Linked DNA regions of Mus musculus: regions 2, 3 and 4 are each reported to be linked to region 1. Evidence: microRNA targets listed by miRTarBase, many of them from high-throughput screens and not tested one by one. Region 1 holds a microRNA gene; each other region holds the end of a gene's coding sequence.

What was found. The annotated mature microRNA mmu-miR-706 reads AGAGAAACCCUGUCUCAAAAAA and lies in region 1 at 3,295-3,316, shown strand. An mRNA with a match to its seed (bases 2 to 7 or 8) in the 3' UTR can be bound and repressed. Matches are read on the target gene's strand: a 7mer-m8 pairs with bases 2 to 8, a 7mer-A1 pairs with bases 2 to 7 and ends in A, and an 8mer does both.
Region 2: the mRNA of Sox7 is a reported target of mmu-miR-706. Seed matches in the 3' UTR shown: 7mer-m8 at 3,472-3,478 and 8mer at 4,035-4,042.
Region 3: miRTarBase lists Rnd1 as a target of mmu-miR-706. Seed matches in the 3' UTR shown: 7mer-m8 at 4,356-4,362.
Region 4: miRTarBase lists Gal3st3 as a target of mmu-miR-706. Seed matches in the 3' UTR shown: 7mer-m8 at 3,008-3,014.

Annotation. Positions count from the first base shown.
Region 1 is chr6:120,029,440-120,037,605 of GRCm38, reverse strand. It overlaps Mir706 (microRNA 706), which reads left to right and starts at 3,295; the gene lies at 3,295-3,378. Wnk1 (WNK lysine deficient protein kinase 1) reads left to right here. Exons shown (of 28, transcript NM_001199084.1): 1 at 1-732.
Region 2 is chr14:63,946,163-63,954,328 of GRCm38, forward strand. Sox7 (SRY (sex determining region Y)-box 7) reads left to right here. Exons shown (of 2, transcript NM_011446.1): 2 at 1,593-4,570. The coding sequence ends at 2,497. Among named protein-coding and RNA genes, the nearest start is that of Sox7, 6.5 kb to the left of the region's middle.
Region 3 is chr15:98,665,843-98,674,008 of GRCm38, reverse strand. Rnd1 (Rho family GTPase 1) reads left to right here. Exons shown (of 5, transcript NM_172612.3): 3 at 54-163; 4 at 1,364-1,498; 5 at 3,167-4,804. The coding sequence ends at 3,412. Among named protein-coding and RNA genes, the nearest start is that of Ddx23, 7.0 kb to the right of the region's middle.
Region 4 is chr19:5,305,563-5,313,728 of GRCm38, forward strand. Gal3st3 (galactose-3-O-sulfotransferase 3) reads left to right here. Exons shown (of 3, transcript NM_001024717.2): 3 at 1,162-3,177. The coding sequence ends at 2,332. It overlaps Gm42064 (predicted gene, 42064), which reads right to left and starts at 1,541. Exons shown (of 2, transcript NR_166897.1): 1 at 1,358-1,541; 2 at 316-571.

The sequences.
Region 1 (8,166 bases):
AGCGGCACTCCGGGCTTCCTTACGCCTCCGGCGCCCGTCCCCAAGAATGGCTCAAGCTCCGATTCTTCCGTGGGCGAGAAACTGGGGGCTACGGTCGCCGACTCGGGAGTTGGCAGGACGGAGGAATATCGGCGCCGCCGGCACACTATGGACAAGGACAGTCGTGGGGCGGCCGCCACCACCACCCCCACGGAGCACCGATTCTTCCGCCGAAGCGTCATCTGCGACTCCAATGCCACCGCGTTGGAGCTGCCGGGCCTCCCTCTCTCTATCCCGCAACCTAGTGTACCTGCAGTGGTGCCCCAGAGTGCTCCACCCGAACCTCACAGAGAGGAAACTTTGACCGCCACCGTTGCTTCCCAGGTGTCTCAGCAACCCTCGGCTGCTGCCTCCCCTGGGGAACAAGCCGTTGTAGGCTCGGCCACCACGACCGTCCCCAGCAGTACCAGCAAAGACCGCCCGGTGTCCCAGCCCAGCCTCGTGGGGAGCAAAGAGGAGCCACCGCCGTCCAGAAGTGGAAGTGGCAGTGGTGGCGCCAGCGCCAAAGAGGCGCAGGAGGATAGGAGCCAGCAACAGGATGATATCGAAGAGCTGGAGACCAAGGCAGTGGGAATGTCCAATGACGGTCGCTTTCTCAAATTTGACATCGAAATCGGCAGAGGCTCCTTTAAGACAGTCTACAAAGGTCTGGACACCGAAACCACTGTGGAAGTCGCCTGGTGTGAATTGCAGGTAATGCCCCACCCCCTTTTTTCTTATTCGGTCGTTTGGATCCCAAATTTGGCTCTGTTAAGCCAGTTTGTCGAGTTCACTCTTTACTTGTAATTCTCTGACTCTGAGAGGGCGGGAAGACTAGTGTCCAAAGAGGTTGAAATTGGGAGATTGTGGAGCTTGTAGTTAGTTAGGTGTTTGGAAAAGATAGGAACTATTGGTGTCAAGAAGGATTGTTATCAGCCAGGGGTAAAAAGAGTCATTTAAGTACAAACTTGTGTGTTTAATGTCAGGCAGGAGACATGGAATTATTGGAAAAGGGTTTCCCTTCGTGTTGGGGATCGAAGAAGTGGGGCCTGGACAAGTGCTTTCCCACTGAGCTAAATATATCCTCAGCCTTTGGGAATTTTTTTTTTTTCTTTTGCTTTAAGTAAATATCAAACCTTTTTTTCCTGTACACTTCATTCTCTTCTAAGCCTCTGCAATAATGAACTGCCTTGTGTGTTTCCATCTCTAAAATCTGATTGTTAGACAAGACCCTGTACTTTTAAGGAACAACTTTCTTGATAGCAGAATATCATAGCATAGTAGCTAATAAAGGCATGCCTGGAAATCCCAACTACTTACTCTATTGGTCGAGGCAGGAGAGCCTCAAGTTCAAGGCCAGTCTGGCCTGGGTAGTGAGACACTGTCTTTTTTGTTTTGTTTTGTTTTGGTTTTTTCGAGACAGGATTTTGTATAGCCCTGGCTGTCCTGGAACTCATTCTGTAGACCAGGCTGGCCTCGAACTCAGAAATTCACCTGCCTCTGCCTCCCAAGTGCTGGGATTAAAGTCTTGCACCACCATCAAAACAACCACCCAGTCCCTGATTCCCAACTCTCTTTCCCTTTAAGTGCTTTCAGAGTAGGAAGGTACAGTATATACCTACCAATATAACCACCTACAGGTGCTTAAGCCTTATGGCTAGCTGTGATCTGACACTGTTCATTAGTCTGTCTTCATCCTATTCAGTCCATAGTGAATAGTAAAAGTCCATGCAAAATTGTATAAGTGCTTTGAAAGTTGTGATAATACCATCATTGTTGTAATATCTTATAAAAGACTTTTTGTGAGTGTCCCAAAGTATAGCCCAGACTGTCCTGAATTTGTTGATCCCTCTGCCTCAGCCTCCAGAGTATTAGAATTATAAGTTAATGCCACTATGCCAGGGATATAAAAGATTTTTAAATGAAACTTCCCAAGAGTCCGAGGGATTACAGTGCTTTCTTCCTTCCTTCCTTTTTTTTTTTAATCTCAGGGAAATTTTCAGGTTATAAATAAAGTGCAGGTATATGCTAGATTAGTTTGGACTACTAATTGCTTGAATTATAGCAATAAATAAATGTTATTATATTTATTATATAAATTTATATTTATATAAATAATATAATATAATATAATATAATATAATATATATTATAGCGATAAATAAATGTTATTATAAAGCATCTATATAAATATTGGTTTGTTAGCACTTGTTCACATCCAGAAATGAGCATGTATTTGTGGTGGAAGCAGAATTTCAGCTACATCATAGATGAAAGTGCCACTACTGATTTCTTGTCAAGAAAATGGACCAAACTGAAATAGGATTGGAAAGTAACTGAAATAATCTCAGAACTTGATTTACCCAAGAATTAATAAACAGCTTGGTTTCCAAATGTCCCAAGGTCATTTGAAATGTGAAAGGAATAATGTTTGGAATTTGCTTCTATGTGGTGGTGCATGCCTTTAATCCCGACACTCGGGAGGCAGAGGCAGGCGGATTTCTGAGTTGGAGGCCAGCCTGGTCTACAAAGTGAGTTCTAGGACAGCCAGGATTATACAGAGAAACCCTGTCTCAGAAAAAAAAAAAAATGGAGTTTGCTTCTAAATATCTAGTGAAGGTGAGCAATTACCCAGCTTCAACAATTATCAGCATATGATTGTTCACTTAAAGATAGTCGATTAAGCTTTCTCTTCCACTTCTCTATATGCTTGAAATTTATTTTCACCATTGGAAATGAGTGTTCGTTTTGTTTTTATTTTAAAAATGTGAAAGAACGTTAACTCAGCATGTGGAAGCAAACATGAAACTGGCAAGTTCTTGAACATAATTCCTTGAGTTCAACACTTAAAATGGAACTTCTAAGCACATTAATGAAGTAAAATAACCAAAAAAAAAATTACCCCTTGTTAATTTTATAACTGATAAGAGTTGGAAATGTGACAAATATTTATTTATTTATTTATTTATTTATTTAATATTTTGGTTTTTTTCAAAACAGGGTTTCTCTGTATAGCCTGGCTGTCCTGGAACTCACTCTGTAGACCAGGCTGGCCTCGAACTCAGAAATCCGCCTGCCTCTGCCTCCCAAGTGCTGGAATTAAAGGCGTGTGCCACCACTGCCTGGCCGTGACAGGTATTTTTTAAAAATTACTTTTAGCCGGGTGTGGTGGCACACGCCTTTAATCCCAGCACTTGGGAAGCAGAGGCAGGTGGATTTCTGAGTTCTAGGCCAGCCTGGTCTACAGAGTGAGTTCCAGGACAGCCAGGGCTATACAGAGAAACCCTGTCTCAAAAAACAAAAAAACAAACAAAATTACTTTTAGTAGGTTTATTTTGTTTTTTGAGATGGCTTTTTTTTTCCCTTACCCTATATTGTGAAGACTCATTGTGTACTCCAAGCTGGCCTTGAATCCATGATTCTTCTGCTGTAGCTTTTGGAGTATTGGTATTACAGGACCATGCCAGACAAACTTACCTTCATTGTTTGTTTGTTTGTTTGTTTGGTAAACTTGTCAAAATATGCCTCTCCTCCTACTGGGCAGTCATACTCAATAATTTAGATGAAACTGATTTATAGGAATTTTTGTACCAAGGATCTATTACTGATCCAGGAATTCAATTCTTCAATTACATTTGTTTTATTTAATTATCTATTTATTTAAGATTTATTTATTTATTATATATAAGTACACTGTTGCTGTCTTCAGACACTCCAGAAGAGGGTGTCAGATTTCATTACAGATGGTTGTGAGCCACCATGTGGCTTTTTATAAATGTGTGCTTTTACTTTTTATTTTTATTTATTTATTTTTAAAGACTTATTTATTTTATGTGTATGAGTGCACTGTTTCTGTCTTCAGACACACCAGAAGAGGGCATCAGATCCCATTACAGATGGTTGTGAGCCACCATGTGGTTGTTGGGAATTGAACTCAGGACTTCTGGAAAGAGCTGTCAGTGTTCTTAACTGCTGAGCCATATCATTCCAGCCCATATCATTTTGTTTTAGATCAAAATATTTGGGTTCAAATTAAAGGTCAAACCTAAGGATAAGTAAAGCTTTGAAAAGAAAAGGAAAAAAAGTACCCCTTTGACATTATCTCCCTAGCAGTGTGATTTTAAGCATGTACTACCATGCTTAGCTTTAAAATTTTTAGTGTATTAAAACTAGAAGGGTTTTGGGAAATAATAGCTCATTAGGTAAGGACCCCTGCCACTAAGCCTGATGTTCAATATAGCACCCACATTGTGGAAGGAGAGAGCCAACTTGTGAAAGTTGTTTTCTGACCCCTGCACTCTTGCTGTGGCACATGTGTACCTACATAAATAGATGCAAAATTGGATAAAATCAGGCTATCTCTCCCACCTACTTGTTTGTTAAATAAGGACCTGAAATCATAGGGCATTAAGTAATTTAGCTTTGGTTAAGAAATTACAAACATTAAAATAGTTATGATATAGCAATTTGGAAGGTATTGAAGGCAATTACAAATTAGACCTGGTAGCAGAGGCCTATAATTTTAGTTATTCAATGAGGCTGAAACAGTAAGATCACAGGTTCAAGGCCTGTCTAGGCTACAGAGTAAATTTTAGGTCAGCCTGAACAACAAAATGAGACCTTAACTCAAAACTAGAGTCAGAAAGAGAAGAGAGCTGGGGATACAGTTCAATGGTAGAGTACTTTAGTGCAGTGTTAGAATATTTGTTTAATAGCTACAAAGTTCTGGGTTCAGTCCAGAAAAGGTAAAGGAAACAACTGTGGTTACTAAAATAAAACTTGCCAGCCAAATTTCTGGCATAGATATGCTCTTCAGGGCCTATCCCATCTTAAGGAGTCTTTGGCAGTTGTAGCTTCTCTGAGAGGGAGAATCATTATCTTTTATCATGTTGTTCCCAACTGGTAGGTTTCTCATGGGCAGTCACAAATCCATGCAACAACAAATTGGATTTAGTAGGCTATTTTTAAAGAGTCAAAGAGTTGAGGAGTATGTGTTGGGGGCATATAAAAGGACTTGGAGGGGAGAAATGGTGGTGGATATATTTGTGTATACATGTTAACACTCTGAAGAATCAAGAAGAATTTAAATTTTTGTTTTTTAGAAAGGCCAGGCTGTCGTGGTACATGCCTTTAGTTCCAGCACTTGGGAGGCAGTCACAGGCTGATCTTTTGAATTTGAAGCCAGCCTGGTCTACATAGTGAGTTTCCAGAAAATCCAAGACTACACAGAGAAACCTAAAAACAACTGATCAAATAAAACAAAAACAAAAACAAAACCCCAAACTACATTTGTAGTCTCAGTAGATAGCTAATTAGTAATACTAATTTCAAATGAAGTTATACTAATTCTGTGTAGAAGTGGCTGTCAGGATTTCTAAAGTTCTCTAATAAATGACAAATTTAATTTTTATCACTTCATATGGGGATCTAGACTTTGGAGGATGAATGCGTGGGGTGTACAAATTAAACTTCCTATTGTTAGGTTATTTTTAGAGTCACAGTATGTGTAGCTATCTACCAAATTGTTTTCAATAATAAATAGGTAATATTTTGATACCACAGTCTTTACAGTCTTTTTTTTTTTTTTTTTTCCAGACAGGGTTTCTCTGTGTAGCTCTGGCTGTCCTGGAACTCACTTTGTAGACCAGGCTAGCCTCGAACTCAGAAATCTGCCTGCCTCTGCCTCCCAAGTGCTGGGATTAAAGGAGTGTGCCACTACCGCCCGGCTCGATACCAGTCTTAAGTAATAACAGAAGTCTTAAAACTCTTAATTCTTTTATCAGGATCTATTAGGCAAAAAAGCACTTTAATTCAGTCAGCTGTGCTGGTGGAAACATGTTTCTAGGGAGTTTTGTAGAGTTTACACTTTGGAGGCTGGGACAGTTTGTGGGAGCGTGCTTATTAGGAAAGCATGTAGTTTGCTTTACAAAAACAAACGTAGACCTGGTAATTTACTTATTTCTGACATTTTTCTCATAAGTTGTCTCTAAATAGTGAATTTCCTTGAAGCTCTATATACTGATGATGTGTTTTTTCAGCTTTACCTAAAAAGAGAAGTAAAAGTTGTAATTTTTGTTTACACTCCAGTCCATTTAATGCCTATATCTTAAAGTTATGGTTTGAGTTCCTAACTACATGACTTTTTGGGTGGTTTTTGTTTTTTTTTGTTTTTTTTTAAAGATTTATGTATGATAGTTGTGAGCCATCATGTGGTTGCTGGGAATGAAGGCTCGCTCTGGCCTAAATATATTTATTGTTTATGTACTATAATATATCTATAATAATAATTATTTTTGTTTTTTTTTTTTTTTTTGAGACAGGGTTTCTCTGTGTAGCCTTGGCTGTCCTGGAACTCACTCTGTAGACCAGGCTGGCCTCGAACTCAGAAGTCCGCCTGCCTCTGCCTCCCAAGTGCTGAGATTAAAAGGCAATGGGCCACCACTGCCTGGCAATTTATTCTTTTTGCTAGCTTTAACTCATTGAACTGAATCATTTGATTGTTTTGGTTTTTAATTTTGAGATAAGGGCTTACTTTGTGCCTGAGGCTGACCTAGAACTCACTGTATAGCTTAGGCTGCTCAAACTCAGAAACAATTAGAAACAATATGATTTTTGCTAGGTAAGATTGGATTTAAGATGTATGTTAACTTGGCATGGTGGTGCAAACCTGTAATCCTAGCTGCAATCATTTAGCAGAGCCTGGATTTGAATGCAAGCAATATATTTTTTAGGAGGCTGAAATAGTAAGGTCTAATACAAGTTTAGGATTAGCCTGGCTACAGAATTACAGATACACTGTTCTAAACAAAACAATCCCTAAAATACATACTTAATGTTGTAGGAAATAACTGTTCTAGAGAATTGTAATTAGTTGACTTCTTAAAATGGTTCTTTTTCACAGTCTCAAGAATTTAAATTTGTCATTTTTCTGTATTTTCCTTTTATTCTGACCCAGATTAACATAGTTATTCCTAGTCTATGAACTTGGAAAGAGATTATATTATATAAAAGACAAGTGAGGCTATAATGTTAACCTGGTGACTGATTTCATTTGTTCACATTAAAAATTCAAGTGCGGGCAGGTGAGATGGCTCAGCGGTTAAGAGCGCAGACTGCTCTTCCAAAGGTCCTGAGTTCAAATCCCAGCAACCACATGGTGGCTCACAACCATCTGTAACAAAATCTGATGCTCTCTTCTGGAGTGTCTGAAGACAGCTACAGTGTACTTACATATAGTAAGTAAATAAATATTTAAAAAATTAAAAAAATAAAAAATAAATAAAAAAAGAGCTTAAAAAAATTCAAGTGCAAGATCCTGGTCATGTGAAATTTACCCTAATTCATACTTTGGTACTTCCACAACTGGGCTTCTGTATTCAGAATTTAAATCGTGTTATTTGAGATTTCTGGTAGCTTTAATTTTTTTCTTTTAGATCAGTGGTTCTCAATATCATATTTATATTATAATTCATAACAGTAGCAAAATTACAATTATGAAGTAGCAATGAAAATAATTTTATGGTTGGTTATCATAAGGAACTACATTAAAGGCTTGTGTTGGAAAGATTGAGAACCAATGTTTTAGATAATACTGATGGCAGAAGAAATGAAATAATTTCTGAAAATACTTGAAATAATAATCACTACTGCTTAGTAGATTTTTGGTATGTCAGTTTTTTTGTTTTTGTTTTTTTGAGACAGCATCTCTGTGATAACCCTAGTTGTCCTGGAACTCCCTTTATAGAACAGGCTGGGCTGGAACTCACAGGGATCTACCAGTCTCTGTGTTGGGGTTAAAGGTGTATGCCACCATATTCAGCTTTATTATTTTTTATATTAATATATTTTCAGTAACTTGAATTTTAATTGCTATTTTTAAAAGATTTATTTATTTATGTATATGAGTACACACTGTAGCTGTACAGATAGTTGTGAACCTTCATCTGGTTGTTGGGAATTGAATTTAGTACCTCTGCTCCCTCCGGTCGGCTGGGTGGTTTGTCAGCTACCATGTGGTTGCTAGGATTTGACCTCAGGACCTTTGAAAGCGCAGTCAGTCCTCTTACCCGCTGAGTCACCTCACCAGCCTCCTTAATTGCTATTTTTTAAACATGGGAAATATCTGGTCTTATAGAAATAGATGAGGTA
Region 2 (8,166 bases), not on the chromosome of region 1:
TTGGGGACCAGAGCCACATTTTATAGTCAGGCCACGGATAGAGCACTCGGTGTGTCTGGATTCTGGACATCTTGCAAAACTAGTGCCATCTCTACATCTGGTGCTGTGGACACTTTTCGAGACATACTTCTAAGTGACAACTAATTGCAACAATTGCAGATATTGGTAGCTTCTGCCTCTGAGCACTCAGTGTCCTATAATATCCTGACCCATGGAACCAGCCAGTGTGGGCAAGGGCAGAAACCAGGGCAGGGTGTACATACCCTGTGCTTAGCCACAAGTGTATTGTACCCAGTAGGGAGACATGCTCTCTTTCCTTACAGGGCTTATCCGGCCAGATGCCTCGTCCTCTTCACTAGAGGGTCTGAAACTTGAGGGTACATTAGAGTCATGGGAGAGCATGCTAAATTTGCAGATGCCTACCTCCGTTTTAGTCGGCAGCAGTTTAAATGGTCTGTAAGTGATCCTTGGAACTCTCTGGAGCAGGGCTGCGTTCCATTGAAAGATGGAAGTGGTGTACCAAGGTGGCTTGTGATTGCAAAGGGACAGACTGGTAGGGTATGGTGAATAGAAAACCAAGTACAAGCAGCATTTTAACACTGGTGGGGATACACAGAGAGGAGACTCCTAAAAGGGAGAACCGAGCCCTGCATTGGAAACAGCACCTGTTATAGTCAGAAAGACGGAGACCAGGGGGCAGTTAAGGAGCTTGCCTCTGTGGAAAGCTGTGGCTGAGAAACTGTCCTGCTATGGTCAGAAAGTCCTAACTCCACGAGAGAAAGTGGTAGTGCACACACATACGTGCGTGTGTCTCTGTCTCTGTTTCTCTGTCTGTCTCTGTCTCTCTGTCTCTGTCTCTCTGTCTCTCTCTGTCTCTCTCTCTGTCTCTCTCTCTCTCTCTCTCTCTCTGTGTGTGTAAATATTAGCTTCTAGGCTATTCCTATATCTTTCCATAGCAGTGTCTATTTGACCCTCAGAGGTGAGGAATAGTTATTTATGAGCCCTAATTCTCTAATTCTCTAATTACTCTCTAATTACTAATTCTCTAATCTACTTCTTGATGACACGATTGGCTGAAGCTGGGTTACCGCACTTAAGAGACATGAGAGATATACATTACTAAACAGGATGACATCCCTTCATAAGTGGCAGGGAACTTTCATTAAAACGCACAAATAAACACAACTGACCCCTAAAGGATTTAAGGACCCTAGTCAATATTACAGTCTTTAGATTTTTTTTTCTGTTGCTGATGATTAGGTCGGGTAGGACTTCCCTGGGACTCTCACGGTTTGGAATGGTTGCCACATCTGGTGGGTTGGGGTGAGATGATGATTTCTAAGCACTTTTCTCCAACATTGTGCGATGCAAACAGGAAGAGTTGGTCCAGTCCCTTCAGTGCGTGTGTGATCTGGGATGAAAAGAGCCTAGAGGCAGGCGGTGTCCTTTGTGGCTGTGAGAGGGGTCCAGTGGGTGGGGTAGGGGTCAGAGATCAGCAATGGGATGCTAAGAAGCAGGAGGCTGAAGCAGGTGCGGAGGCTGAACCAGCACTTTGGAGTCTGAGCATGCCTTTTTCTGGTTTGTGTGATCAGGAAAGTCATGGAAGGCGCTGACACTGTCCCAGAAGAGACCCTATGTGGATGAGGCAGAGCGGCTGCGCCTGCAGCACATGCAGGATTACCCCAACTACAAGTACCGGCCCCGCAGGAAGAAACAAGGCAAGCGCCTCTGCAAGCGCGTGGACCCTGGCTTCCTCCTCAGCTCCCTCTCTCGTGACCAGAACACGCTGCCTGAGAAAAACGGCATTGGCAGGGGGGAGAAGGAGGACAGGGGTGAGTACTCCCCAGGGGCCACCTTGCCTGGACTGCACAGCTGCTACCGCGAAGGTGCAGCTGCTGCCCCTGGCAGTGTGGACACGTATCCCTACGGGCTGCCCACACCTCCGGAGATGTCGCCCCTGGATGCGCTGGAGCCAGAGCAGACCTTCTTCTCGTCCTCATGTCAGGAGGAGCATGGTCACCCCCATCACCTCCCCCATCTACCAGGGCCCCCTTACTCACCGGAGTTCACACCTAGTCCCCTCCACTGCAGCCACCCTCTAGGTTCTTTAGCCCTTGGCCAATCCCCAGGGGTTTCTATGATGTCCTCTGTTTCTGGATGTCCCCCATCTCCAGCCTATTACTCCCATGCCACCTACCACCCTCTCCACCCCAACCTCCAGGCCCACCTGGGCCAGCTGTCCCCACCTCCGGAGCACCCTGGCTTTGACACCTTGGATCAGCTAAGCCAGGTGGAACTTCTGGGAGACATGGATCGCAATGAATTTGATCAGTATTTGAACACTCCCGGCCACCCTGACTCTGCTGCAGGGGTTGGAACCCTCACTGGGCATGTCCCGCTCTCCCAGGGGACTCCCACAGGCCCTACAGAGACCAGCCTCATCTCAGTCCTGGCTGATGCCACGGCCACGTATTACAACAGCTACAGTGTGTCATAGAGCTGGAGGAATGGAGCCTGGCCCAGCCCTGCCATCCCCTCCTCCCTATGAAGCACTGAGCTGAGCAGAAACTGTGGCGATGCCACTCCTTGGTGGCAAGAGGTCAAAACTGCTGTTCCAGAGCCTTCCGGTCAAAAGCCAGGATCCAGCGCTCCTTCTGTCCCTTTAAATGTGTTTTGTCGGCTTCATCAAGGAAGCACAGCCTTGGGAGCTGTTTGCAGTAGGATTTCCTAGCCGCTCTACACCATCAGTGTAGCTGATGGGAAGAAGCCCAGTGCATTGGAGCTCCTGCTTTTGGTGTAGCTACTTCTGATCTGTGGTGCTCCCAGTAAGATGGACCCTGGGCCTGGGGTCCATCTCAGTTCAGTCTCTAACTGGCAAAACCCCACTCTGGCTTGACCAGCCCTGACTATTCTCTCCTGTACAGTGAGGGTTGGCTTCATAGCCAAGCCCTCGCTCTATGGATCTCCAAGTTACAGCCCTCTCAAGGCCAAGGAAAGTATGAATGAATGACTGCCCAAGGACCCAGGTTTTCTGCTTTCCTATAATACTGTCCACAGCCACCCTAGAATTCCAAAGAAACTCCTTCAGTCGAGAAAAATATTCACCTTTGGTCTGGCAAGATGGTGTGGGATGTCTCAGTGGGTAAGACTGCCTGCTGCCAAGTCTGATGACCTACGTTCTATATCCGGAGCCTACATGGTGGAAGAAGAGAACTGACTCCTGCAAGTTGTATTCTGACTTCCAAATGCACGTGTGCCCCTGCATTATATGTGTGCTTGAGCATGCTCACATGCACACACACACACACACACACACTAAATGTAATTTTTTTAAAGGAAAAGATCTACCCTGGTTCGGAAAATTAATGAGTATGTTCAACTGCATCACTGAAAGCAAAATCAGATTAGAACTTGTTTTGTTTTGTTTTGTTTTGTTTTGTTTTGTTTTGTTTTGTTTTGTTCTGAGACAGGGTTTCTCTGTGTAACCCTGGCTGCCCTGGAACTCACTGTGTAGACCAGGCTGGCCTCAACCTCAAAAGTAAGCCTGCCTCTGCCTCCTGGGTACTGGGATTAAAGGTGAGTGGCACCACACCCAGCCTGGATTTTTTTTTAATATATACTTTAGATACATTATTTTTGTTACATACATCTCAGGCGACTACAGTGTGAGAAATGACCTTATGCAGGCATGCCTATTCCCAACACTGTGCCCCAGGTGTGTACCCTGATTTAGATTCTTCTCAACTGTGACAATGTCTCATCCCCTCATCACAGAATGAACCAGAGAGCTAGAAACCTAAAACGTCTGTCCACAAAAGTGTTGGGGTGTGCTGATTTCTAGAGCAGAGCTGTAGCATACTCTTATCTACAGATGCAAAAGATGACTCTCTGCCCAATGTCTGCTGCCCCTTGCTCCCAGGAGGGCTTTTCTCTCTTCTCTGTTACTCTCCCTCCAAACTGGCCCCTAATTCAAAGGGCCCCTCGCTTGGAATCCCAGGCACCATTCCCCTGGGCGTGAAGGGAACTTGGTTCTTGTTTCTCAAGTGGATACATCAGAACAATCACCTATCCCACAGTCCTTTGGCTGTCCCAAACAAACACCCTGTGACACCCAAAGATGTTTCTGAGCTTTGGTCGCACCCCAGACATTTCCATTCTCTAAACCTCCTTTGAAGGAACATACCAAACACTGAGCTAACAGACTCTTGTCTGCCCTTGGACACGTGTATATTATTGCCTTTATGAAATGTGTTTTTATATTCTGCTATTATGTCCACCTTATATTTTGTATTGTTGACAGATCCCCAAGAAGTCTTATTATAATATCACTTATAAGATATACTTAATCTTTATGCTATTACTGTATATACCATTTGGTAACAAATAGTGAATTGTTGATGATGTAATTGACTGGTGCCCAGTCCCGGATGGATATTAATAATCTCGTGAAACACTATCACAGGCATTAAGCTACTCTGTTCCATTTTTTCAAGAAAACTAAATATGCATGGAACAGTTATGAAATTGATTTTTCAAAATGTTTAATTTAAATAAATTTTTTTGTACCTTCACCATTCTATCCTTTGAAATAGTATTTTTTTTAAATTCATACTAGGTCTCAGTGCTACCTGTAATATTGTTTGCGTTATTTTCTGAGTCGACTTTTTATTTTAAGGAGTTTTTGTTATATAGGGTTTTAAATTTCTTTATGAGTTGTGCTGAAAAGACAAACTTCGATTCTACACATTAGTGCTGTTTTTGTTGACATTGGAAAAGGAAAGCCATAGCAACCCACATGAGCAGTTTCTCCATGCCTATTCAGTAACTGCACGCTTCCCAAGTCTAAGCAAATGACCATCTTGTCCTCTCCCCTACTTGAGTGGTGTAGCAGTATGCAGTGGCCCTCTGGACTGGACAACATGCTGTCGGGGAGACAGGCACACAGCCTGGAATCAAGGTCTGAGACAGCTGGGAAAGTCCAGGATGCACGCTCAGTCAAAAAAGCTCCTGGAAAATCAGCCTGGCTCTGTCCCATGTATGGCACCTAATATGGGCTGCTCTTCATGTAAAGAAGGAACTTGTTTAAGTCAAAGGTAGCCATGCCCCTTCCCATGCTCCTCTGGGCCAACGAGGGCCCTCCTGGGTTTCTGCACATCCTTCTCTGCTGATCATAACCCACACCCATTATTCAGTAGCACTTCATTGTTGTTGGGAGTGTTAGAGAAGGTTTCTGAACTGTTTCTCATCCACAGCCCAGGTGGGCCTCATCATTCCCACCACATTACACAGCCAGGGACACTACAGTTCCGAGTGGGAGATGGCGTGAGACTCGCCACCCTCCTAGGATGTTGGCTTCAGCACCCATGAGGCGCATTCATTGGGAGCATTCATGGCTGAGGGTTTAGTGCTTCTCCTTGGTCCTGGTTTTGGTGTTGGAGATGTGGCCTCATGTTGTGGCTCAGACTGACCTGGAACTCACTAGGTAGCCCAGACTAGCCTTGGACTTGTGGAAACCCTTCTTTAGCCTCCTTGGTTCCATTCTCTGTGCCTCACTGGGGCATGGATTCAACTGCTCCTCAATCCATGACCATCTCAGGCCAGAGAAGAAGAAAGCAATTATGGGTGACAATTGAGATGACACAGAGCCGTGATGCTCTGCACCTGGCCAGTGGTGGCCATATGCAGAGAGCACTGAGGTACTATCCTTGGCTATACTGAGCTCTGAATTGGCAGTATCTGGTCAAGGTATGCCCCTTGGCACTGCCCAATGGGCATGCATCATTGTAACACACAGTGTGGTTACACTGTCCATGCCGATGAGACGACAAGAAGGCAGGAGGGTTCTCTGCTCTGAGTGGGACACTGTGGGAACCAAAGTCTCTGTGGGTCCCAGCTACCTGTGCACCCTGCCTGTGGTACTCAGGTTACAATGTGACTGATGTCATCTTACAGGATGACAAGCCATGACAGCAAGTTGTTTTTCTAAAATGCTGACGTTCCCATGTCACTCTTTGCCTTAAGATCTCTGTTCCTGTTCCTTAAGCAGTGAACAACAAAGGTGACCCACTTTGTGGCTGAGGAGCCCTGTATTTCAACTCCCACTTGCTTATGTGCAGGGCAGTCTTTATTTTCACAAATGTTGTAGAAAGGGAAACACTTGTGTTCTTTTCTCTAAGACACACCCCCACCATTACATCTCCTGCCAACTATACAAACTTCAGGCTTGTCATATCTGCCCAGTCTGAATGTTAGTTCCCCAATGGCCGATTCTCTCCTTTCCAGAAGTTTCTCTCTCAGCTTCTCTTTCCCTCTGGTGGATCTTGCTGCAAGAATACCAACCGGTCTCTGAAAATACCATCCTTTCTCATGCATCCATGTTTAACCATGCCAGCATGGAGACCCTCACACTATTGCCTGTCTAGTGATACCTCATACAATGTCCAAGTGGCAGGTCCTTAGTCTCCCATGGACCCTGGTAGCTACAGCGACTGGCCAACAATGAATTCAACTAAATTGTGTGTCCTCCATTTGCAGACCCAGAGTAGGTTTGAGAACCCCAGCTGGGTTGAGTAGTGGTGAAAGACCCCTATCCTTCTGGGTCCATCCTTGGAACTATGTCCCTAAGACCTCTGGTTCATGTGCCTCTCGGGTTCATGTGGCTGAGGTAGGCCTGCACCTGCTGCAGTGTAGAATGGAGAGATAGGTTGGAGATGGAATATGAGCCTTCCTCTTTGAATAAATAGTATTTCTGTTTTCTTCACAATGGAAAGGAGAGAGAGAAATGAAACAGGACATACCTATTCTGTCCCATTTACTTCTGTGTTGCTACGATAAAAGACTGACCAAAAGTAACTCGGGGAGAAAAAGGTTTATTTGGCTTACACTTCCACATCATAGTCCATCAAAGCAGGGACCTTGAGGCAGGAACTGAAGCAGAAGCCATGGAGGAGTGCTACTTATTGGCTTGCTTTGGGTGGATGGCTTAGTTTGCTTTCTTATACACCCTAGGACCACCTGTGCAGGGATGGTACCACCACAGAGGGCTAAGCCCTCCTACATCAATTGTTTATCAAGAAAACACCCACAGCCAATTCCTCAATTGAATTTCCCTCCTCCCAGGTGACTCTAATCTGTGTCTAGTTGACAAAAAAAACAAAACCCCACAATATCTAGCAAATGTTATCTATAATCTATCTATCTATCTATCTATCTATCTATCTATCTATCTATCTATCTATCTATCTATCTATTTATCTATCTATCTACCATCCATCCATCATCTATAATCAATCATCTATAAATTATCTATCAATAATCTATATGATATATATCATCTTTTCTTTCTTTTCCCATTTCTCTCTCACTTTATGCCTCCTTTTTTTTCTCTATTTGTTGCATTCACTCATCTGTGCACACACACACACACACACACACACACACACATTCATCCTACTTCTTGTCAGTCTGTTATCTTTCTTTTAATAATAAATATAGACTTAGTCTTTAAAGTAAATTTAGGAAAATAAAGTTAGCTCTCATCCAAAACTTAGAGCCATCACTAGTTTTTTCTTTTAATTTTTTTTTTTTACATATATCCATCTTGCTTTAAACGTTTTTGGTCTATATATTCATATGTCTTTTATAACAATTATTTTACTCTTTAATGTTAAACTTTCCCCAAATCACTGGGCTTAGTTATTCTACAAAGCTGTTTTCTTCCTGCTTGATAAAATTCTAATAAGAACATTGAGAGCCTCAGATGGACTTCATCATCCACCCATCCTGTTGTGTAGCCAGTAATACTAAGGCTGAGACAGGAGGACAAAAGATCACAAGTTTGACGCTATTTTAAACTACACAGTGAGACTCTGGGTAAAACAAGAAAAAAGGGATAAGGAGAAGGGGAAAAACAGCAGGAGAAAAGAAAAGGAGAGAGCCATAGAAAAATGGAGAAAGAAGTTGTCCCCTTGCTGTATCTACTTCCCTATGGTCGATTTTATGTGTGGCATAATCCTGTTCCATTTCCCAGCTTACACGGTTGTATGTACTATGATTGTGATCATGTGGACACACAACCCACTGGTAATAGCTTGTTCCGGTCAACACCCTAAGGTAGGAGTTGGTCAGTGACATCTATGTTTGTACTAGCCTCCTCTGTGGCTACTG
Region 3 (8,166 bases), not on the chromosome of region 1:
AGCAGAGGAGGTAACTCTCAGCCTCACTCTCAGCTCTTCTCCCCTTACAACAGGTTCTCCTTACTATGACAATGTTCGTCCACTCTGCTACAGCGACTCAGATGCGGTATTGCTGTGCTTTGACATCAGCCGTCCAGAGACCATGGACAGTGCACTCAAGAAGGTGAGGCTGAGCCGGAGGTGGTGGTGTCTGCTAATGAGCTTAGCTTAGCTCCTGGGGGTGGGGAGGGGTGTCGAAGCAGGAGGGTCGCAAGTTCAAGTTCACCCTGGGCTGTGGAGCCAGTCCGAGATCAGAGAATTTAGTGAGACCCTGTCTCCAAATAAAAAATCAGCTGGGCGGTGGTGGTGCACACCTTTAATCCCAGCACTTGGGAGGCAGAGGCAGGCAGATTTCTGAGTTCGAGGCCAGCCTGGTCTACAGAGTGAGTTCCAGGACAGCCAGGGCTACACAGAGAAACCCTGTCTCAAAAAAAAAAAAAAAAAAAAAAAAAGAAAGAAAAAAGAAAAAAATCAAACGGAGCCCCGGATGACTTGCAGTTAGGGAGTGCTTCCTTAGCATAAGCAAGGCCTTGGGTTCAGCACCCAGGATTGCGGGTGGAGTGGAGGAGAGGATAAATGTATACTTTCTACCTAGAAGAACAAGAAGGGGCCTTGTCCCATAATCCTCCTGTCCCTCAGCCAGGAAAGACTTGTTTTGCTTGACGCCTTACCATTAGCTGTGTGGCTCTGGGTTGAACCTGGGTTTCCTTCCCCTTAGCCTTCTGCCTTTCTCCTATCCTACTATGCTAAAGGCCAGTCTGTGGGCGATACTGAAGGCCCAGAGAACCTTCTAGTGTGTGCGTTTGTGGAAGCACACACACTGGAGGCATCTTCTGGGACTGTGACCTCAGGCCCACTGAGTCAGGCAGGTCAGAGCTCAGTTAGCTGGAGGAAGTGCTGGTTCCGAGTGGCAGGATCTGCCCACACTGAGACGTTGCGGGAAACGCTGTGGGACTTGCCTAGCTTCTTAAGGAAGAGATTGTCTCATTCCCAGCTACAGGTATTCAGGGCTTGTTTGCCTTCTGACTGGGAAAGAAGACAGATCCATGTCCTTTCTGTGTGGCAGGGAGAGGGAGACTTGCCCTGTGTTCCTGTTGGCCACTGTGCTGTTGAAGGGACAGGATCCTGGGTTAGCACACTGGTGCCACCAAAGGCCTCATGGGCAGGAAGATGATGTAATTAGTGCAGCAGAGATGCTGTGACTCAGAGGGAAGGCAGGGAGGGACCTGATAATCTGAGCAATGCGCTGGCCGGTGCCAGCTGGACTCCTGGTCTCTGTCAGGCACTGACTTTCTTTCCTCTCCCCCTTCGCTCCCACCCTCAGTGGAGAACAGAAATCCTAGACTACTGTCCCAGCACACGTGTTTTGCTTATTGGCTGCAAGACAGATCTTCGAACAGACCTGAGCACTCTAATGGAACTGTCCCACCAGAAGCAGGCACCCATCTCCTACGAGCAGGTGTGTGTGCATGTGTGTGTGTGTGTGTGTGTGTGTGTGTGTGTGTGTGTGTGAGGGGCACGGGCATGTGTGCACAGGTGGGATAGAAAAGGCTATGGCAAGATAAAATTAGTATTAGGGGGCTATCTATAAATAGCAAAGTGTCACCTGGGTTGGGGTGGCAGGAACTTGTTTACATAGAGTCCTGCCATAGGTTAGTTAGCCTGCGAGCCTCTCCCATGTGTGTGCCAGCATTTTTAAGGTTTTTTTTTTTTTTAAGCCATATGTATCATACTCATTAAAGATGCTTGTTAGATCTGGGTGTAGTTTGTAATAGTTTGTAATCCCAGAACTCAGGAGGCGGTGGCAGAAGGATTCCAAGTTTGTGGCCAGCCTGGCTCGGTCTCAAAAAACCAAAACAAAAAACAAAAAAAACAAAAAAAAAAAACAAAAACAAAAACAAAAAACCCATAAAAACAAAAAACAAAACTAAATTAAAATGAACAAACAGAAAGAAGTAACTGTTAGGATTTTGAGTTCCTAGTTCCCTGCCTGTAAAATAACTCTGGGAGGAAAGACACGGAAATCTGTATTTCTACGACAAGACCAGAGGATACTTTTTAATTACTTGTTTAATTGTGTGAGTGGTACATGCCGCGTGCATGTGTGGTCTCTCAAGAGTTGGTTCTCTCCTTCTGCCGCATGGGTTTCTGGGATTGAACTCAGGTTGTCAAGCTTGCTGGGAAATCTTTGCTTCCCTCTGCTGAGATGTCTCACCAGCCCCCGGAATAATTTTAATGCACACAGGAGTATAAGAATGCTTGTTAATATTTCTTATTAGAACCCCCTGGGGGCTCTTTTTTTTTTAAAAGATTTATTTATTGCTATATGTAAGTTCACTGTAGCTGTCTTCAGACACACCAGAAGAGGGCATGAGATCTCATTACAGATGGTTGTGAGCCACCATGTGGTTGCTGGGATTTGAACTCAGGACCTTTGGAAGAGCAATCAGTTCTCTTAACCGCTGAGCCATCTCTCCAACCCGGGGGTGGGGGTTGGGGGGGGGACTCTTAAACATCCTGACATGAGGGGCTGGTGGAATGGCTAAAGGGGAGGGAAGGCACTTGCCACTAAGTTGATGACCTGAGTCTGATCCCTGAGACCCAGTGGTGGGAGGAGCGAACTGGCTTCCCCAAACTGTCCGTAGATGATCTGCCCGTGGATGCTGTGGCGTGAGCCACACAGACATACAGACACTCACGTGAAAGAAATATGTTTTGGTTTGGTTTGGTTTTTTTTTTTTTTTTTTTTTTTTTTCGAGACAGGGTTTCTCTGTGTAGCCCTGGCTATCCTGGAACTCACTCTGTAGACCAGGCTGGCCTCGAACTCAGAAATTCGCCTGCCTCTGCCTCCCAAGTGCTGGGATTAAAGGCGTGCGCCACCATTGCCCGGCATCAGTACGCTTTTTAAAACGTTGTAGGTGATTCTAGGCTGCAGTTAGTTTTCACCTTTGTGAATGCTGGCAGGGGCTGGGGGAAGACCAATAGTGGGGTCGTGGGGGGACGCATGGAACCCTGATGTTTTGCTCGAACAGACACTTGAGAGGACATGTATGATATTTGGAAAGAATGCCACACTGTTCCTTAGTCATCTTAAGGCATTGCGTTCATGACCACACCCCTCCCACAGGGCTGTGCGATAGCCAAGCAGTTGGGCGCAGAAATCTACCTGGAGGGCTCGGCTTTCACTTCCGAGACAAGCATCCACAGCATTTTCCGGACAGCATCCATGGTGTGTCTGAACAAGTCTAGCCCAGTGCCCCCGAAGAGCCCCGTCCGAAGCCTTTCCAAGCGACTCCTCCACCTCCCCAGTCGCTCTGAACTCATCTCAACTACATTCAAGAAGGAAAAGGCCAAAAGCTGTTCCATCATGTGAAGTCAGAGCTGGAGGCGGGGGAGACAGCCCCCCACTTCCTCCCTTGGGGTGCAGAGGCACGGGGAGAGGGAGGATGAGACGGCTTAAGACACCGGATGTGACATTTTTCAGATGGCCACAGAGGACTTTAGAAGGAGACAGGAATGGAACTGAAGAAGATGCCAGGCTTGGCAGGAGGGCCTGACATTAAGCAGAAACCATCACACCCCAAGCCTGGCACTAGGCTGTGGAGGGGGTCGTTGCCCCAGTGTCCCCCTACTCCAGAGGAAGGATGGGTACTGGGGAGATGGGGACATGCTGGCCTCACCTTCGACATCACGCCTTTTCCATACAGCGTTTCCAGGCAGGCTTGGGGTGGGCGGGGTCCTTGATCCCTTCTCTTCTCCTTAAAGAAGTGGCAATGGACTGGAGACCGTGAAAGGCTGGAGACAGCTCCCTTCGGGGCTTAACCCAGACGCTCCATCACTGAAACCAGGAGGGCGAGGGCTGACCTAAGAGGGAACCCTCATTTTTGCCTAACCCATGCATCATGGAGAGGTGATATTATACATTCACATGCTTCTTACTGAAGTCCCCAGGGCCCAAGGGAGAAGCCCCAGACCCCCTTCTCTTGCAGAATGTGGGGGTGGTGGTGCTGTGGGGGCAGGACTGATGGGAGGGGTCACCAGACTTTCCTGCCCCTGGGGCGGTACAGTTGGCATTTGTTTTATAGACTCTTGTCTTTGGAACTGGGGGTGGGGTGGGGGAGTGTTTCAATCTGTTCTATGTTCCGTGTTTAAAGAAGAAAACCTATTTATTAATGAAATATAACATATGAAGAAATTGGTGGGGTTTTGTTGTTGTTGTTCTTTGGTTTTTATGGCGATCAGGGAAAAGCTGAAAAGCTGTCTTTTTTTTTTTTGTTTTGTTTTGTTTTGTTTTGTTTTGTTTTTTTTGAGACAGGGTTTCTCTGTATAGCCCTGGCTGTCCTAGAACTCACTCTGTAGACCAGGCTGGCCTCTAACTCAGAAATCTGCCTGCCTCTGCTTCCTAAGTGCTGGGATTAAAGGCATGGACCACCACACCCCGGCGGAAAAGCTGTCTTGGATCCCTTTCTAGGAGTTACAGTGGCTGTCTCCAGGGTCCCCTAGCATCTTGTTCTACTTCTCTGAATCCCACCTGCATCCTGCTAAGCCAAGAAAGAGGTCCTTGGCCCTGGAGTAGGGCTTCCTTCTCGTCAGGCTGCTGATACTGTGGAAGTGAGAATGGTGGTTTATAAGGGGCTGTCCTATGTAGGGTATGATGCCCTGACATCCCGGTTCTAGATAAGAGTAGCATGTTTCAATTGTCACAGCCAAAAATGTCTCTAGATATTGCTGAGTGTCCTCTGGATAAAATCACTTCCTGCTGAGGACTAGGAGCAGCGCTCTCAACCTTCCCGACGCCTCCACCCTTTAATGCAGTTCCTCATGCTGAGCTGACCCCCAACCATCAAGTTATTTTTGCTGCCACTTCATAACTTTAATTGTGCAACTGTTGTGAATCGTAATGTAAATACCTGTTAGGCAAACCCAGAGGGGTCGAGACCCACAGGTTGAAAACCACTACCCGGGGCTGGTGAGATGGCTCAGTGGGGGGCTGGTGAGATGGCTCAGTGGTTAAGAGCACCGACTGCTCTTCCAAAGATCCTGAGTTCAAATCCCAGCAACCACATGGTGGCTCATAACCATCTGAAATAAAATCTGATACTCTCTTCTGGAGTGTCTGAAGACAGCTACAGTGTACTTACATATAATAAATAAATAAATAAATAAATAAATATTTAAAAAAAAAAAAAAAAAAAAAAAGAAAACCACTACCCTACAGAGACTGAAGAGAGAAAGCTCGCCTCAAATAGAGGGTCAAGCTGCTGGGTAGGCGCCGCACAGACTAGTTCAAAGCCTAGGGGTGGCTCCTGGGATTCCCATTTCCTGAGTTCAGGGAGAGGTGACTTTTGCTGATGGTTTTCCAATTCCAGTATCCATTGATGGTAGCTCAGTTTTAACATCTCTTCCTTAGCGACTCGCACCTCTTGTTCTCAAAGGTTCATAGAAGTAATAGAAGGTTATTATGGGGGCTGGGCAGATGGTCCAGAGTTTAAGAGCACTTCAAGTTCTGTTCCCAGCATCCACACAGTGGCTGACATCTGTAACTGCAGCTCCAGAGAACTTTATGCCTTTTTCTGGCCTTCATGGTCACCACAGGCATGTGGGCGCCCATGCAGACAAAACACCCATATATGTAAAATTTTAAAAAAAAATCTTAAAAAGTTACTACGACTAAGTATGATGGTGTGCCTTAGTTAGGATTTTACTGCTGTGAACAGACACCATGACCAAAGCAAGTCTTATAAAAGACAGCATTGAACTGGGGCTGGCTTACAGGTTCAGAGGTTCAGTCCATTATCATCAAGGCAGGAATATGGCCGCATCCAAGAGAAGCTGAGAGTTCTACATCTTCATCTGAAGGCTGCTGGCAGAATTCTGACTTCTAGGCAGCTAGGGTGAGGGTCTTAAGCCCACGCCCACAGTGACACACCTACTCCAAGGCCACACCTCCAAATAGTGCCACTCACTGGGCCAAGCATATACAAATTATCACATACCTTATGCCTGGAAGCCCAGCACTTAGGAGACGGAGGCAGGAGCCAGTCTACCCTATGATGTAGCAAGATCTTGTCTCCAAAAGATAACTTATCATGCATCTCTGTCCTTTAAAAGGATCTTGCTTTTTTTTTAAGATCACTGTAGCTGCCTTCAGAAGCACCAGAAGAGGGCATCAGATTTTGTTACGGATGGTTGTGAGCCACCATGTGGTTGCTGGGATTTGAACTCAGGACCTTTGGAAGAACAGTCCGTGTTCTTAACCGCTGAGCCATTTCTCCAGTCCCCTCATTTTATTTTTAATAGTGTGTGTATGTGCGTGCGCGCGCGTGTGCACATGTGTGCGCACATGCATGTGTTCATGTGAACGCAGGCGCCCTCGGGGACCGGAGGCATAAGAACTCCTGGAGCTGGAGTTAACAGGTTATTGTGAGCTACCTTACTAGGTGGGCACTCGGAGTTGGACTCAGGTCCTCTGCAAGAACAGCAGGTGCTTTCAATTGCTGAACTACTTCTTCAGCCCTGTTTGATGCATCTGCTTTAAATAAGCAAACTTAACCTCAAAAAGAAAACTAGTTAATATTTGTTTTAGTGTTGCCGTGTGTCAGAGCACTTTATATTATCTGTGATAACCTTTTGAGCGATTGCCTATTTCGCTATACAGGCAAAGAGGTCTTGAGAGATTATTGTGCCCAAGCCATGCAGCCAAATGTAGAACTCTAGAACATTTTTGGAGACAGGGTCTTACTATATATAAGCGCAGGTGACCTAGAAGTCACAAAAACCTGCCTACTTCTGCCTCCTGAGGGCTGGTATCAAAGATGTGCACACCACTATGCCCAGCTGCTGCAGCCCAGGGTGGCTTCAAGTTGCAACATACCAGAGGAATTTCTTGAGCCGCTCTTCCTGTCTCTACCTGCTAAGTGCTGGGACTCCAGGGCTGTGCCACCATGCCTGGGTACCAAGCCTAGCTTTGAAATGCACACTTAAAATTTGTTTTCTTTTCTCTTTTGTCTTTTCTCCTCCTCCTTGTCCATCTTGCTTTCAATCTCGCTCTCTGAGCTCTCTCTCTCTGAGGGAGCTCCCTGTTGAGTTGTTACCCAGGATGGACTCCCACTCTGGGCTCAATGGTCCTCTCAGGCCAGCCTTCTGAGGAGTTGGCACTTGACACTATATTTGACAACATAATATGCTTTTTTCTTGTTTGTTTGTTGTTTATTTTGTGGAGAGGGTAGGAGTTGAGACTGGGTCTTGTTTTGGTTTTGGTTTGTTTTCTTGGTTTTTGGAGACAAGGTTTCTTTGTGTACCTCCCCCTGGCTGCCCTGGTTCACTCTGTAGACCAGATTGGCCTTGAAGTCACAGAGATCTGCCTGCCTCTGCACCCGCTCCATTGCTGGGATTAAAGGTATGCACAACCACCACCTGGGTCTTATGCAGCTTATATTGGTCTTGAACTCACTATGTAGCAAAGGGTAACATTGAACCAATGGCTGATATTTCTAACATCACAAGTGCTGGTAGTACAGGCATGCATCAAGAATATAACTTTTAAGTGCCTTTCTAGCTCATCCTGTAAGGCAAGGAGTATTATTTTTGTTTTATAAATGATGCAAAAAATACTATATACTATATAATATGCATGTTATATGGTATATGTATTATGCGATCACATATAATATAAAATTCATATAGTATATAATATGTTATATAATAATGTTATATAATATGCTAACACATATATGCATATACTATATTATATATAGTATATAATATGCAGAATATCATACTGCTAGTGACTGAGTCAGGATTCAAACCTAGCCTCACTGTTAACTATATTACACGAACCCTTTATTTTTAGCCATGTTGCTAAATAGGAAACTGGCCTTGATCCTTACTAAATATAATCTTGAGGGCTAGAGAGTGGCTCAGTGGTTAAAGTGCTTGCCTTGCACACATGAGTTTCTGAGTTCAAATCCCTGAACCCACATAAAGCTGCCTTGCTACATGTCCATAATCGCAGCACCTTCACAGTGTGATGGAAGGTGGAAACAAGATGACAGACAGCCAAGGACTGAGACTGTGGGTTATCATGTGATCTCCATGTGTGTGGCAAGCCTGTGCCTATACACATGA
Region 4 (8,166 bases), not on the chromosome of region 1:
CAGACAGGTGTGAGCTGCCATGTGGGTGCTGAAGATGGAAGCTGGATCCTCTGGAAGAGCAGTCAGTGCTCCCAACCACTGAGCCAACTCACCAGCTCTCAATCCCAGAACTCTTCAGGAGAAATGGGAGGCGGAGACTGGAGGATCAGCCAGAAGGGCACAGTCCAACAGAAACAGGAGAGTCTTAGCCTCAACGAGGTAGAAAGAAAGAACCAATTCTAAAATGGTATCCTCTGATGTCCGCCTGCTCGCCTTGGCATATGTGCACCTGCTGCACATACACACATTAAATAAATAAAGAGTAAAGAACTTAGCTGCTGAAAACAACAAACATTTATTCTCTTTCCATTTCTATAAATCATGAATCCAAATGCGGCCGAGAACTCGTGACTCCAGGTCTCTTGCAGGTTTTCAGTCAAGGTGTCTGCCAGACACACAGTCTTTTCTGAAGGACTGACTAAAAGCAATCTGAGAAAGTTCAGGTAGTTCCGCACTCTCCAGCTCTTCAAGCAGGCTGACAGTACTCGGTGCTCAGTTTCTTTGGGACCGCCTCCTTCTAATGCACATTATCCTGGAGAGAGAAACCAGTGGCCTTTCCCCACTATAAAATCAGAGACCATTCCGCATCATTTCTACCTTACTCTGTAGCATAGAGTGCATCAGTCAGTCTAGTCCCGCTCAGTGGGAAGAGACTATGTGAGGGTGTACCTGCTACTAGGAGTCATCTCCCCACCTCGCAACCCCTTTTAAACGGGATTTCATTGTGTGGTTCTGGCTAGCCTGGAACTCATTCTGGAGACCAGGCTGATCTCGAACTCACCTTGATCCACGTAGCTCTGCCTCCCACGCCATACACAACCCCAGCCCCTTATGTGTCTGTGTATGGGTGGTATTACATGCAGTGTCATCTGAGGCCAGAAGAGGGCATTGGATCCTCTGTGATTGGTGTTACAGACAACTGTGGCCACATAGGGCCTGGGGAGATGAACCTGGGTCCTCTAGAAGGGCAGCCAGTGTTCTTCACAAATAGGCAGTCTTTCCTGCCCCTGTAGAACCCATCTTAAAGGCTACCTGGCACCTGGTCTCTCCAATCATGAGAGGAAAGATCAGGCCGACTCACTTCCTTGCCTTTACGCCTCTCACACACCCTGGGCTTTGCAGGTACCCCAAGTTGTTCCCTCTGAGCTGCCCGCCTCTGCGAGAATCGCCACCTCGGGCCAAGCACATGGCCGTGGCCTTCCTGAAGACTCACAAGACAGCAGGTACTACGGTGCAGAACATCCTGTTCCGCTTCGCAGAACGCCACAACCTCACGGTGGCCCTGCCTCACCCTAGCTGCGAGCACCAGTTCTGTTACCCGCGAAACTTCTCGGCCCACTTCGTGCACCCAGCTACGAGGCCCCCGCACATGCTGGCCAGCCATCTGCGCTTCGACCGTGCAGAACTCGAGCGCCTCATGCCTCCAGACACGATCTATGTCACCATCCTGCGCGAACCCGCGGCCATGTTCGAGTCGCTTTTCAGCTACTACAACCAGTACTGCCCGGCCTTCAGGCGCGTGCCCAATGCGTCGCTCGAGACTTTCCTGCGCGCACCCGAGGCCTACTACCGTCCAGGCGAGCACTTCGCCATGTTTGCTCACAACACGCTGGCCTACGACCTTGGAGGCGACAATGAGCGCAGCCCTCGTGACGACGCAGCCTACCTGGCGGGCCTCATCCGCCAGGTGGAGGAGGTCTTCTCGCTCGTCATGATCGCGGAGTACTTCGACGAGTCCCTCGTGCTGCTGCGGCGTCTACTGGCCTGGGACCTGGACGACGTGCTCTACGCCAAGCTCAACGCGCGCGCTGCCTCGTCGCGCCTGGCCACCATCCCCGAGGCGCTGGCGCGGGCCGCGCGCACCTGGAACGCGCTCGATGCGGGCCTCTACGACCATTTCAACGCCACCTTCTGGCGTCGCGTGGCGCGCGCGGGCCGCGCATGCGTGGAGCGCGAAGCGCGCGAGCTGCGCGAGGCCCGCCAGCGTCTGCTGCGTCGTTGCTTTGGCGACGAGCCGGTGCTGCGACCCGCTGCCCAGATTCGTACAAAGCAGCTGCAGCCGTGGCAGCCTAGCCGCAAAGTGGACATCATGGGCTATGATCTGCCTAGCGGCGGCGCTGGCCCTACTACGGAGGCTTGCCTCAAGCTTGCTATGCCCGAGGTGCAGTACTCAAACTATCTGTTGAGGAAGCAAAAACGCCGCGGTGGTGTGCGGTCCAGGCCAGAATCTGTCCTGGATAATCCTCCCCCTCGGCCCATAAGAGCACTGCCCCGTATCCCCCAGGGTACCTGAGATCCGCCTGCCTCCAGGAACTCAGGTCTTGCTCCATTAGGGCCCTTTTATTCCCCACGGCCTTGAGCCCTGTGTCCAAATGGAGGTGCGTCTGCATCTGAGCCTGCCATCCTAGTGTCGCCCGTTCGAACCCCACTTTCTGGGATGGCATTGATGGGCCACCCACTCCTTCCCAACTTGTTGGTGACTTTGAGAAGAATCCAAGGGCGTTCTAGTACTGCCCACCCTGCCTTTTTCTGGGGACTGAGCACCCCACCTGTCATTTGGGGGTGTTGAGCCCACACTTGTGTTTAGTGGATGACCACAAGCCCCAGAGAGGGACTAAGTCCTGGGAAAATGCTGTACTTCCAGTCAGCACCTGGGCTTTTGTTCTTCCCAGGGCTGCCTAAGTCCCCTATTGTCTTCCAGGTTCTACCTTCCCTACACACACCTAAGCTGCTCCCAGACACACAGAACCAAGAATTCTTCGGTTGGGCTTTTTGTTGTTTGACTACTACTACTACTTCTTCTTCTTCTTCTTCTTCTTCTTCTTCTTCTTCTTCTTCTTCTTCTTCTTCCTCTCCTCCTCCTCCTCCTCCTCCTCCTCCTTCTCTCCTCCTCCTCCCCCTCTCCCTTCCCCTCCCCTCCCTCTTTTTCCTCTTTCCTTTTTTTTTTTTTTTTTTTTTTTGAGACAGGGTTTCTCTGTGTAGCCCTGGCTGTCCTGGAACTCACTCTGTAGACCAGGCTGGTCTAGAACTCAGAAATCCGCCTGCCTCTGCCTCCCAAGTGCTGGGATTAAAGGCATGCACCACCACTGCCCGGCCTCTTTCCTCTTTATTCTTTTTTAATAAAACAACTCTAAATTATGCAGGGTGTATGTCAATTATTGAAAGCCAGAGTCCCCAGGTTTGAGGATGAGGCAAATCTTAGTGAGATACCGTGGCTGGACCCACCCAGACTTGACCGAGTTTTCTGCTGCCTCTTCCAAAGGCCCACACCTTCCTCAATCCTTCCACCTGGCATAGCCACACAACCCATAGCATTTTGAGCTCCATCCATTTGCCAAAATTTATCTTTGTATTCAGTTCAACCATATTTCCCATCAAATGGAATGCATATGAACAAGGGAAGCAAGTCTAGAAACCATGAACAACTACAATATGGCTTTGGCAGGCTGGAAACAGGGTCATTTTCAGGTAAAGGGGTTCATAACTCCAGTTTTACCCCACACCCCTGTGAGGCCTGGACTTCACCACTGGGCATTTCCCCCCCCCCACAAGAAGATAAGACTTGGATAATAACCCGCCCCTACCCCCCCACAAGAAGATAAGACTTGGATAATAACCCGCCCCTCCCCCCCCACAAGAAGATGAGACTTGGATAATAACCCGCCCTCCCCCGTTTCCTTAGCACAGCTACATACGCTGGACTTGTCTTCTTTCTTTTTATTTATTTATTAATTATATGTAAGTGCACTGTAGCTGTCTTCAGACACTCCAGAAGAGGGCGTCAGATCTCATTACGAATGGTTGTGAGCCATCATGTGGTTGTTGGGATTTGAACTCAGGACCTTTGGAAGAGCAGGCGGCACTCTTAACCGCTGAGCCATCTCAGCAGCCCCCTGGACTTGTTTTTAATACATGGCTTCTCTGTGCAGCTCTAGCTGTTCTGGAACTCACTCACTCTGTAGACCTGAATGGCCTTGGACTCAGAGATTTGCCTGCCTCTGTCTCCTGTGTGCTGGGATTAAAGGTGCACACCACCACTGCCCTGAGAAACTCTTAACTTTTAAATAAAATCTCCCTTTTTTATTGGATATTTATTTACATTTCAAATGTTTATCCCCTTTCCCAATTCTCCCCCCCCAAACTCCTACCCCCCTCCTCCTTCTATGAGGGTGTGCCCCCACCCACCCACCCACTCCTGCCTCCCTGCCCTCAAATTCCGCTACACTGGGTCATCCAGCCTTCACGGGTCCAAGGGCCTCTCCCCCCATTGATGCCCAACAAGGCCATCCTCTGCTACATATACGGCTGTAGCCATGGGTCCCTCCATGTGTCCTCCTTACATGGTGGTTTAGACCCTGGGACTTCTGGTTGGTTGATACTGTTGTTCTTCCTGTGGGGTTGCAAACTCTTCAGCTCCTTCAATCCATTCTCTAAATAAAATCTCCCTTAAAGAATAGCAGAGAGAGCGAGGCATGGTAGTTCACGTCCCAGCACTCGGGAGGCAGAAGCAGGTGGACCAAGGCCCAAAACAACCAAACAAAAACCAGCAGAGAGGCAAGGCATGGCAGACAAAGCCTTATCCCAGCACTCGGGAGGCAGAGGCAGAGGCAGATTCGTGTTTGAATTTGAAGACAGCCTGGTCTACATAGTTCCAGGCTAGTCAGAGCTATCAATTGAGAGCTACCTTGACATATTTAGTCAAGTATGTCAATAAAACTATAGCTAACATGGTCTGCTAGGTTCCAGCTATTATTGTAGAGCTTTGCTTGAACTAGTTTGTTAGATAAGCATTCTTTTCCTCATGATGGAACTATACCTTAGGTTAAATGATGATCCAGTCATATAGCTAGAAAATACCATCAAGATTTGAACCCAGACCCTGCAGTTTCAGTATCTGCTCCCATGTGCTGTGTCTAGTGCTATTCAAAGAGAGAAGGTCACATGCCACAGGCAGACCTTCTCCCAAAAGAATGTAAAGTAAGACGCTGCTATCAGCTCTTAGGTTATTTTTCAGTGAGACAATGGTTGGCTTGTTTGGGCAAGGAAGATTGTAGCGGCTGGCTGGCAAGCTTTATGAAACTCCATCTTATTATTCTGTTTACTCTTAGTATAACAAAATATCTGTGAGTCCACAGCTTATGAAGGGAGAAATCTCTTTTGGCTCAGAGTTCTGGAGGCTCAGAGCATGGCACCAGTCTCTGCTTAGCTGGTGAGGGCCTCATGGCAGAAGGACAAGTAGGTGCACATGAAAGAGAAAGAAACAAAATAGCATGGCACACTCTCACAGAAATTAATCCAGTCCCCAAGAACAAGAACACACACCCAACCCTGTTACTTCTCACAGGCCCTTCCTGCCTCCAATCAACTCACTTAGAGGCCAAATTTCAACACAAGGTTTAGAGGGGACAAAAAGGATAAAAACCTCAGCACTGTCTGAATTTGAATGGGGCGATTTGTGTAGCACCCGCTTTGTACCAGTAGAGCTCAGAAAGAAGCAATAATTAGTGCCATGCAAAGCTGTAATTAGGTTTCTGCTGCTAAGCAGCAATAAAGAATTGTACTAGACTTGAGGCCATCTATCTAAAGACAGGTGTCCTCCAGCTCCCAGGCCCTGAAAGTGCCATTTTACCACCTCTCTTGGTCCTATACTTGCAAGGAATATCCTTCCTCCTGCCCTTGGTTGGTGTAGAAAACTCAGACATGCTTTGTATCTGCCTTGATGGGCCTCTCCTGTGCTCCTTGGCCCTTGGACATGGCCTCTTTTATATGGTTCAAATCCAGTATAAGAACAATGCTGGATTCAAAACTACCTGTGTCAAGAAGCAGGCCACATATTAGGCAGCAAACAAAATGCATCTATAAGGAACCTTGTTACAAGGCACTGGAGACCTAAGGGATTGAGCCTGTCTACTGGGTATAGCTGACACTGGAGCTACTTGGATCAAGGGTCCTAGAGTCCCTTCCTCAAGTGCACCCTCTTAAACCCGCCCTTCCCTTCCCTCAAACCTTAGCTTTCACCTCTCTCCAAAGCTTTTTGTAAAACCTTAATTGGCTTTGACTATAGAATGAAATTTAAAGGTTGCAGTTTTTTCTAACCTGGCTAGTGTCCAAGTAATTGAGATGGAGACTTATAGATTATTCAACAAGCATTAAGCACAATAATTGGGAGATATTCCCAACCCTTTATGTTATCTAGTAACTTTCCAGCCACAGGCCCAAGTTACTGCATTCAGTCTCTCCTTGGCTCACTCTGCTGTGGCTCTCTGTCCTCCTGGCAGACTCCTCCTCATGCCCAGACTTATGGCCAACATCTTTTTTTGTTTTTTCGAGACAGGGTCTCTCTGTATAGCCCTGCTGTCCTGAAACTCACTTTGTAGACCAGGCTGGCCTCGAACTCAGAAATTCACCTGCCTCTGCCTCCCAGGTGCTGGGATTAAAGGCGTGCGCCACCACTGCCCGGTGGCAGACATCTTTTTTGTCTTCCATCTTACAGCCCTTCTCTTGGATCTTTACCTGCTTCTTCTCATGACAAATCCTTCTCCTGGCTCTTCTCACTCACACCCCTGGCCAGAACCAAAAGTTCTATCTTCCTGTCTCCTCTGCCCAGTCATTGGCTGTAGAACTTTTTATTAAACAGTCAGAGATTATTGAGAAACATTCTTTATATCACACTGATACAGGGGACTCTTCAATATTCATGAAAATGCCCACATCTGGGTTGCACAGAAATCAGCACCTGAATACACGGAGCACAAGACCTCGGCATTGCTCTAGACCTGTACCCAGTGCTTCTCTTTGATCTTCTAATCGGTGATTAAAACAAACAAACAAAAAAACTCCTCCTCCCCTCAAGCTCTCTTCTGGGGCAGTCAAGGCTTTAGGTATCATCAATCCAGCCCCCAAAGACATAGCACGTTCTAGGTATGATCCAACAGTGCCCTACGTCGTCTTCTTTTTAACTCCTCCCCTATTCTCATGGAGCACTGTATCAGCCCCAGGGATTACTGGAGTGGCTCCACATCTCGGTGGGCAGTGCACCTAGAATTCTAACTGTGGTTCATGTAGTCCCAATTATAATTAGAAATGGCAGGGAGAGCGCCCTGGAGACCTAAGAGAAGAACCCCATATCCACTTCACCCTGTTCTCTCTCCAATATGCAACAGCTACTCAGAAATCACTCCCACTTTGATATTAGCATAATAGGGTTCCTGGGACAAACTGATATTATTATCCTAACTAAAGTTGGATTTCTGCCCCTACCTCTGTTACCTGCTTGGCTTTAAAAAGGCCCATCACTGAGACCTGCTCAGTATTTACTGGTGGAGGGAAGAGGGGAGCCATGGCAATAATGTACTACCCCCCCCAGGAATGAACTCCCCACTCTTTGATTCAGACAGTTGCCCCATCACTCCCCAAATATAAGAAACTACATGTAATTTATTTAGTCCTCAAGGAAGTCAATGGGCCCTTTTTTCTTTTCTTGGACAGTATATATGCTGTGAATTTGCTTCCCTGGTTATCAAGCTTCTTTGTCAAACTAGCTGAGAATCCACTATCCCCTTTTCTCATCCACATCTCCATCCTCTTACAGGAAAGGGCGTCACCCCTCTACAGCCAGCAGGTCAAATCTCACAGATCCCTACAAGGTCTAATATCTGAGCCCTCACTGAGCAAACTGCCTCTATAGGAACATTCACAGCCTCTGCTGAGCAAGCAGATCGATTTCATTCACACACGCGCGTGCATGCACGCACACACATACACACACAAAAGGGTTTCATGCCTACTTCCCCTGCGTCCCTATTGCGCAACCTCAGAGGATAATATGAGCATGCTCCTCTTGTGTGCCCTTATTACCACCCCAGCTTCACAAACTATGGTCATTAACCTCCAAAATTTTCAAATCCAGTGCCTCTTGAAAATTGATGACACCCACATTTCCCAATTCAGACACCAAAAATATATCTTTGTCACTATAGACATATAAACACATTTCATATGGGCTACAGCCCAAATGGGGGAAAGCTCAGAAAGATTAATTCACACGTGCACTCCACTTTTGCCATCATGGGCATTCCTAAGCAGATTAAACACGGACAATGACCCTGCCTTTACCAGCTCCCAATT